Arabidopsis thaliana: one gene and its partner. The protein of the gene in region 1 interacts with the protein of each later gene in a pairwise test. Each region holds a gene or a part of one and is shown on either strand. Other genes may lie near its edges.

Region 1 (4,853 bases):
AAAAAAAACTGTCATCACTAAAAACAAATCTGTTATCACTATGTGACTGTGTAGTAATTTTATTTTTTAACAAAAATCTGTTGTAAAACACCAGATTTGTTAACAAGTTAATTAAATCTGTGATTACACAAAACAACTCTGTCATGCCTATATAACATTTTTCGAGGTTAACAAATCTGTTATAACACAACAGATTTTTGGGTGCAAATAGAAAATCTGTTGCCGCCATAAAGAAAAATCTGTGGTCCGAAAAACAAATCAGTGACAGATTTGGTTTCAACATTCTTACTTTTGAAATTTAAATAAAATCTGTGGAGACTATATGAAACAAATTAGTCACGGTTAAAAAATCTGCGAAAAAAAAAAAATCTGGCGTAACATAACACAGGAAAGTCTGGGGTACAAAACAAGTCTGTTGTAAAAAATCTGTGGTTGACCAACAAATCTGTGATCGATAACAAATCCGTCGCAACAAGAGCCACAGATTTATCAAAAACGACGATGGCATTTTCGTAAATAAATGTGGTTTTATTGCCTTGCTGGAATTAAATAGTAATGGCATTTCTGTAATATTGTTTTTCTCTGCAAAGGAAAACAAGGATAATTTAGGTATAATTATTACTCAAATAACTCATATTTTTAGCATTCCTTTTGGGTCTTTATGTATAAAATATGGGTTACTCTATTAAATTTCCCTTATTTTTAACTGAGAAAATCAATCATGAGAATCAAATCTCATCTTTGTTTGATCCTCATTTTTTAGAAAGAGACAATTAGATGCATAGACATATTTTTGAAAAGAATTAAGAAACAAGCAAATAGGTTTTGAATTTTGCAGAACAAGCGAGAGAAGATGCTACACTTTATTATTCACAAAAATAACTTATTTAGTTAAACCCAATTATTCCGTATTTAGCTGATATCAACTACTTTGGACTTCAAATATGTTCTTGATATTTGACTGAGAAACCATGAAGCCAAATTTGTAACATTCTATAAGAAATGTAAAGAAATAATAAAATAAAATAAAAAATTAAAGAAAGTGTCTCTTTAACCTATTGAAGTCTATCTCCAATCACATTTGGCTTCACTTCAATCCCATATTTCCCACAATTCAAGAGATCATACCCACTTTTGGAGTTCAAATCAAAATGCACAAACCCGGATTCTGGTTTAACACATGCATCTCCGGTTTCTATTTTCTCTTGTTCTCCACATAACCGAAACTCTTGAGAGGAATCACCACCATTAAGGTGTGAGATATCAGTAACCAAACCCGCCTTCTCGTTCTTACGATCACTTCCTACAAGTCCCGAAAGTGCGAGATTGAAATCCGAGAATTGACCCTTGTCTGTTTCCCCTGCATTACCACAAGGTAAGCTCTTCTGTGCTTTCTCTAGTAATGTCAACAAATATTTTCCTTGTGCCTCCATTCTCATCTGCAGTTTTTTCTGCACCTATAACACCGCAAAAACTTCGGTTTAAAACTTTTATTCATTGTTGTGAGAGAAGAAAGAAGAGATTTGTTACCTCGAGTTGTTCTTGAAACCGTTGTTGCGCATCGACCTGATGTCTCATTGCCTCAGCAAAAGGTACATTCCCGCTTTGTCTACGTGTGTTCATTAACATTATGTCAAACTCAAGCTTTACAAATCCATTATGTCGAGAGAAGGCAAATTCATATATAATATACCTTTGATGGTTATCAAATCTTGAATCATTGGAGATTCCTCCTTGAGAACAATTGTCGAAATGCACATATGAACTTCCTGTGAATACAAAAATCAATCAATCTTTGGTTTCTCAAATGTTATCTACATTAATATTCCTTAAATACATCATATGTATATATATATTATACTCTACTATAAGCTGAATTATATATAAATCTTGAATTCTTGATAATAATCATACATACCAGCATTTTCTTTGTTTTGTTCTGTTCTATTTTGTTTTTTGCCTTGTTGTTGACCAAGTCTATACTTCTGCATATAGAAACACATCATAAGAGAGAATATAAACCAACAATTTGTAGACATTATACATTATTATATACTCAAATTTGTATAAATTTGGACCTGTAAATGGCTCTTGAGATGGTACAGTGTTAAACCTTTTAATCCCATCAGCTTCAGAACCGATTTAGGAGTTGCTTCTACAAAACCAAACCAATAACAAATGTCACTAAGCAAACAGATATAATTACATTTGTAACCTATTAAATTTGAAGTTATCAAGCTACATAGAGAAGAATCAATTGAATCACTGGCATTAACTTAACCAACCAAACCGAAGTGAACCGGAATCATAATGTGAAACCGGTTATCTCAATTGAAGAATAAGAAAGAGTAAAAGAGCTATAATGTTGTTACACAGATACATCAACTGTAGATTTAACCGGACTGAACCGGAATTATAAAGTGAAACCGGTTATCACAATTGAAGAAGAGGAGGAAAGAGGAGCTTACTGTCAGCGCCACCGAGCTTAGCGACGGCGTCGACGAAGCGATCATGAAGATCGGCTGTCCATCTGAGCCTAGGTTTGGGATCTCTAGTCATCATAACTCCGCCATTATCGTAACCTAAACCTCCGAGATTCACTCTTTCCATTTAATTTTCCGATCAAACAAAATAATGGCGGGAAACTCAGTCGGAAGAATGAATCAAATAACTTCGAAATTTTCCTCTTCTCAAGGATGTGATCGGAAAGAGGAAGCGTAAACTCAAAAAAAGGAAAAATGGCAATCGAACTACGAAATATTGGTCGGAAAGAAAGTGGAAGAAATTTTGTTAAAGATGGGAATGCGAGTGATTAGGGTAAAGAGATAATCGGCGACGAGAGGACGAGATAAATAGAAAGAAGTGTGATGATTGATGGAGAAAAAGAGATCAGAAAACTTTTTGAGGAAAATCTCAGAGAGAGAGAAAGGGAACTTAAAAAAGTCGTCGCGGTGATGATGATGATGGAGGAGGAGAAGTGGTGACATTATTCGTGACTTAACGTCAACCTTCGGTTAATATAGTATTATTATAATATATGTATAATACAAATTATGGATCCAACACTAAAAGTTTGTTTATATACAAAAACAAATTGTATCCATATCGAAATATTATGATAATAAAAAAGAAAATAGTAATTATTAACGTTTTTTATATCGATTTTGTGAATAGTATGAAAGCAAAACATAGCAAAATTTTATTGTATTATGACTGATTAGTGATTTATTGCATACAAACGCAATTACCAACCGCATATTACTTGCGTTTTTAATTGTGTCTATGAGATGCTAGACCGTGTATATGTCATGTTGTAGAATAAAATATATACATGATTGCGTACTTTTTTTTTTCTTTTTGTAATCAATCAAGAGGTATTTGTATATTCAGAATCGTAACATGGGAGAGAGGAACATGGCCCGCATCATGGATATTTGTTTACTATACCTAGATTATTAATGTCCAAAGAATATATAGTTTCTAGGAATTATCATTTTTATCATTTGAATAATTTATATGTTAGATTTATGTGTTTTTAAATCAGATAACTTATGACTAAAGGTTTTGTCTCATTCTCATACAATCCATGAATCAAAATCTCTCTCCATGTTGTTCCTTTATTTAGGTATCATATAAATTTATCATTCATATGTTGTCGGATAGTCTCAATTTGAGATAGAAGAAGAAAATAAACATAGAAAATGTTTCGACCAAATTACTAAATTAGTAATTTGTTATTACACATTCCACATTACACATAAATCAATTCCGAATAATCAAATAAAATGAAATTCATTTTTTTTTTGATAAAAGATTTGATGAAATTCATTGTTGTATTGTGACCTTTTAAAAATTGTTTTAAAAAAAAAACAAATCGTTGTATTCGGCGACGATCAATACATGATGAGTGATGAGCGGTGTCAAATTCCGACAAGAGCGACATAAAACCTTTTTTTGTATTTTTTTAAAAACAATAACAATAATAATTCAATGGTTTTAAAAAGGAATTTATATGACGAAAACAAAGTGCATGGGGCGAGCATGTCACGTAGACTGCCAGCGTGGAATATTCGCCGTCGGACAAGGAAAATACAATAATCTGAAACTCACATGTTCGACGGTGGGGGTTTAATGGTATTTCAACATAGGACACGTGGACGGCTTTGTTACTCTTTTGTCTTTTACGTTTGTTGAAATTGAGACCCACAAGAAATACACACGTGGAACCAAGGCCGCTTCGTTCGACCGCAATCGTTTTGTCCTAACCAAACATGAGAATGGGTGTATTTTTCAATCCAAAGCTCGGTTTACACCGGTACAATCTGACTAAACCGAAATATCATATAACCGGACCGACTCGGGAAACAAAGTTTCTTCTGGTTTAGCTGGAAAATGTACTTGAGAAAAAATCATAAGCCTAACTTGTTTCTCTTTTCAAAACCGATCAGTCTTAACGCCAATTTCACCATATTTCGAAAACTCAATTTATTCCAATGAAGTTAAACTGAAACATAAAGATTTTTTGAGTACCAGTGAGCAAAATTATCTGGTAAAAACTGGAAGAGACTGGCTTTCATCGTAATCATACTGTTTCATGCTCTATCTCTCAATTGCAGAAATTGAGTTTCTTCATGACTTTCGCATATGCTGGTGGTACTAGTCCAGGTTGTCTCAATCTACGCTTCGATTTCTTTGACTGCATCAATTAACAAAACAAATTCTTTACACTCAACATTTCTCAACCTGACTCAGAAATCTTACACAATGATGAAACCCCGAAGAGGTCCAACAACAGAGATGGTATTGTAAAATACAACTTTGCCTACCATTTGTCCATTTAGCTAAACAAGGAA
Region 2 (4,482 bases), on another chromosome or scaffold:
ATAATGAAAACATTGGTCTAATACTGGCATTTTATTATTATTATTATTATTTTATTATTTGTTTAAAATACTGGCAATTCAATCTAACAAAAAAAAGGCAACTAATTTGGCGAGTGATTTCAGTTCGATAAATCATTGATTATTTTTCTTGCATGTTCCACATATATAAACTATAATATTATGGTATTTTATGTATGATCCTCGAAAATAAACTAACTAGTTGTTAAGCATGAGATTAGGATACAAGTGGATCCCATTGCATGTAGGCGTTCATACGGTGGAATATTAAACTTGATTATTTCTCTTAAATTTTTAAAACATAACAGAAATGTGGGCTTAATCATTAATTTAATGAGAAACAACTAAAAAAAGTTGCCACAAAAAGAACTTTTAGTATTTTAGTGTGTTAATTGAGCCGCTATACCGCATAAAATCTAAATTATATAACACAGATGAAGACTTATGTAAGAAAAAAAGTTGAATTATGTTAGGAAAAAGGTGTATTAATGAGAGGAACCTTTTCTCCACGATATTAAAGGTTGAATAATGTCTCAATGAGAAGAAGCTTTTCTTCACGAGAACTATATGATGTTTAAATTTCGCAAACTAGGCCATATTTTGCGAAAATGGTGAGTTATTAACCTAATATGATCAAACATTCCTAATTACACAAGGAAAAAAAAAAGAGAGTATATTCAAAAGATTGAGGAAATGGTTTTGCATTCTGGTACACCAAACCAAATAGAAAAGAAAGAAAACAAAAAAGGAAGGTAAATTTCCATGAAAATGAAAGCAATAAGTGAAGGAGAGAACATATTCTTTCTTTTTCCTTTGCGAGTTAGAGAGAAGAGTGGGGGGCTAAGCAAAAGAAAGAAGTGGGCGTGATTCTTACGCGCTGACTTAATGATCAGTCAATCTCTGGCCCATGGGCTTCTCGGTCATTTTCTCCGACATTATTACCTCAAAAGTTAGCCCATTGTGGACCCGCTTACTTTCCCCCTGCTTTTTACCGTGTTATGTGGGCTCCACATAAAGCCCAGTGGTCACTCCCTTTTTCCTTTCCTTTGTTTTTTGTCGCAAGCAGCGGGGATTAGTGTCCGTTAAACATCATCGACTCAAATTGTTTCATGCAATTTTCCCCTTTTTTATTGGTTATCAATCGAATAAACCTCTCTAGCTTTTGTAACTAGTTTGAGATTATTATGTGATATATGCACGGTACTAAATAAATACATAATATTGTATTTTGTGTGGTACTAACAACTAGGTTTAGTGAGAATAAAAACGACGTTGTAGAGTTTGTTTAGTAAGAATATTTTTGTCCAACACAAACTACTTTTAAAAAAAAATTCCAAACGTTGATATACCTATTGCCTATTGGAATAATCAACGCAGATTCATAGTTTTTTATTTATCTCCATACTTGGGTCAAAAACGTATGAGATTTAATGATCGAAAACAATATCCACAAATATGAAATATTTTAACGCTGATCTCAAACTCAGGTACAACATAGTTACATATAGCCGTGCTGCTATGTTTGAGAAAGATTATTTTTGATCACTTAAATTGTCATATGTAATAAAAAAAAACTTTCAGTTAAATGTTTTTGTAAAATACTGTTTAAAATTTTAGGATGAAAAAGACTGAAAAAAAACCACTCAGACAAAAAAAAGAGAGAAATCATTAACCTTTTTAAAACATCCTTTTTCTCTTTTATTTTCAACTTTCACATTCTTGATGATCAACATAGTGGAGCTTGGATCTCTTTTCAATCAAATGATTTATTTTTATTTTTAAAGCAGAGGAACTTTATTTGTATTTTATCCCTTTAAAGAGCTGTAGAAGTTTCCTTTTCATTAGCTACAGAAGTTGCTAGTTGTGCATAGTATATAGTTTTGGAGATATATTATGAGAAATTAATACAAAATAAAAACTGATTTAAAATCTTTCAGTTGAATTTCATGTGAAATAGTATGTTATTAATAAAAAACGGAATCATATACAAATCATTGTCAATCAGATTGTTTCGTGTATAAATATTATTCTGTAAAACCAAACAAACCCGGATCAGACACGGTTACCAAAGTTGAAATCTCTTTATTTGCACGCACTCACTCAAAGATAAAAAGCTTACCACTCTCACCTTTCAAAAGCCCCGCCACCTTCTTCTTCTCCCACACACAAAGAAAAAAGACAGAAAGAAAAAAACTTTTTTTCTTTTCGTTAAAGGCTCCACCTTTCTTTCTTCTTAACACACAACACATGAAAATCCCTGCATCATCTCCTCAAGACACGACCAACAACAACAACAACACTAATAGTACTGATAGTAATCACTTATCAATGGACGAACATGTCATGCGTTCAATGGATTGGGATTCCATCATGAAAGAATTGGAGCTTGATGACGATTCTGCTCCTAACTCACTTAAAACCGGTTTCACCACAACCACAACAGATTCTACTATTTTGCCTCTTTACGCCGTCGATTCAAATCTCCCTGGCTTTCCCGATCAGATTCAACCGTCGGATTTCGAATCGTCTTCCGATGTTTATCCTGGTCAGAACCAAACAACTGGGTACGGTTTTAATTCTCTTGATAGTGTCGACAATGGAGGATTTGATTTCATTGAAGATCTCATCCGAGTCGTGGATTGTGTTGAATCGGACGAGTTACAACTCGCTCAGGTGGTTTTATCACGGCTTAATCAACGCTTGAGATCTCCGGCGGGTAGACCGTTACAGAGAGCTGCGTTTTACTTTAAGGAAGCTCTCGGTTCGTTTTTAACCGGATCAAACCGGAATCCAATCCGGTTATCTTCTTGGTCCGAGATTGTTCAGAGGATCCGAGCGATTAAGGAATATTCCGGGATTTCTCCGATCCCTCTCTTCTCTCATTTCACGGCGAATCAAGCGATACTCGATTCGTTGAGCTCGCAGTCGTCTTCTCCGTTTGTTCACGTGGTGGATTTTGAGATTGGATTCGGTGGCCAATACGCATCGCTTATGAGAGAAATCACTGAGAAATCTGTAAGCGGTGGATTTTTAAGAGTTACGGCAGTGGTGGCGGAGGAGTGCGCCGTAGAGACGCGACTAGTGAAAGAAAACCTAACTCAATTCGCGGCGGAGATGAAAATTCGTTTCCAGATTGAGTTTGTGCTGATGAAGACTTTTGAGATGTTATCTTTCAAAGCGATTAGGTTTGTTGAGGGGGAGAGGACCGTCGTTTTGATTTCCCCGGCGATATTTCGTCGTCTAAGTGGAATCACTGATTTTGTTAACAATTTACGGAGAGTATCACCTAAGGTCGTTGTATTCGTGGATAGTGAAGGATGGACGGAGATCGCCGGATCTGGATCATTCCGGCGAGAGTTTGTTAGCGCTCTTGAGTTCTACACGATGGTGCTGGAGTCGCTCGACGCTGCAGCTCCTCCCGGAGATTTGGTGAAGAAGATAGTGGAAGCGTTCGTTCTACGACCGAAGATCTCCGCTGCGGTAGAAACGGCGGCTGACAGGAGACACACCGGCGAAATGACTTGGCGGGAAGCGTTTTGCGCCGCCGGGATGAGGCCGATACAGCTAAGCCAGTTCGCCGACTTTCAAGCTGAGTGTTTATTGGAGAAAGCGCAAGTTAGAGGATTCCACGTGGCGAAACGACAAGGAGAATTGGTGCTGTGCTGGCATGGAAGAGCACTTGTTGCCACATCAGCTTGGCGGTTTTAGATAAACCGGGTTTGGTTTAACAATATGATATAGAATAGAATAATTGTATTTACCGCCTTTAATATCTCTTTTCTTTTTGCTGTTTATCTTTCAAATAAAGAAATAAAAATATTTCTTACGAAGAGTCTCTGTATGAGCTAGAGTCTTTTAATGATTCATAATCTCCTCTATTCAAAACACAAGTGACCTTTTTTTTGCGAGTGTGCGAGTTCGTCGTCAATTTGGTAAAACCGTCGTACGAATCGCCGATGAGCGGGTTTGCTTCACAGATTCCATCCATGGCGCTTCTTGGATCTGGACTCACCGGCGAGGTAATCTTCCTTTAGTTTGATTGATGTTTCCGATTGTACGGCTTTTGTTCCGATCCGTGATTTGGGGATTCGTGATAAAGTTTATGATTAAATATGTATATTTAGGATTCCTTCATCTTCTGCCTTGTTGGAATTCAGATTTCTTCTGTACTGGATTGTTTTTTTGTTTGGATTACTCTTTGACAAAAGCCGATTAGAGAAAGAGGTGTTTCAATTCCTGATCATGTGGATATTCTCAACTTTTGGATTGAGAGAAACAATTGTTTTTCTCAATGGAATTTTCAGGTTGGGTTGCGTGTATTGTTCTCTCCACTTAGTTCCAATATCGTACTTCGTACAGCATGGTGAGTTTTTTTTATTGTAAGGTGAAGAAAGCCATATAGTTGCTAGAATCAATGGTACAGGTAGACGAATGAATTGGAGGAATGATTTGATTGGTGAGATT

Evidence for each region.
Region 2: the proteins of AT5G45580 (region 1) and HAM4 interact in a two-hybrid assay, tested with the Arabidopsis thaliana proteins (one large-scale study listed by BioGRID).

The regions. Positions count from the first base shown.
Region 1 is NC_003076.8:18,480,037-18,484,889, forward strand, and holds AT5G45580 (Homeodomain-like superfamily protein), read right to left. Parts: upstream 2,973-4,853; 5' UTR 2,611-2,972; coding exon 2,469-2,610; intron 2,156-2,468; coding exon 2,079-2,155; exon of another isoform or gene 2,040-2,078; coding exon of another isoform or gene 1,986-2,039; coding exon 1,919-1,985; intron 1,770-1,918; coding exon 1,694-1,769; intron 1,610-1,693; coding exon 1,531-1,609; intron 1,458-1,530; coding exon 1,056-1,457; 3' UTR 773-1,055; downstream 1-772. Other genes in the region: AT5G45590 (Ribosomal protein L35), read right to left, coding at 4,607-4,696.
Region 2 is NC_003075.7:17,303,795-17,308,276, forward strand, and holds HAM4 (GRAS family transcription factor), read left to right. Parts: upstream 1-1,963; 5' UTR 1,964-2,265; coding exon 2,266-3,726; 3' UTR 3,727-3,854; downstream 3,855-4,482. Other genes in the region: HVA22K (HVA22-like protein K), read left to right, coding at 3,975-4,037, 4,323-4,381.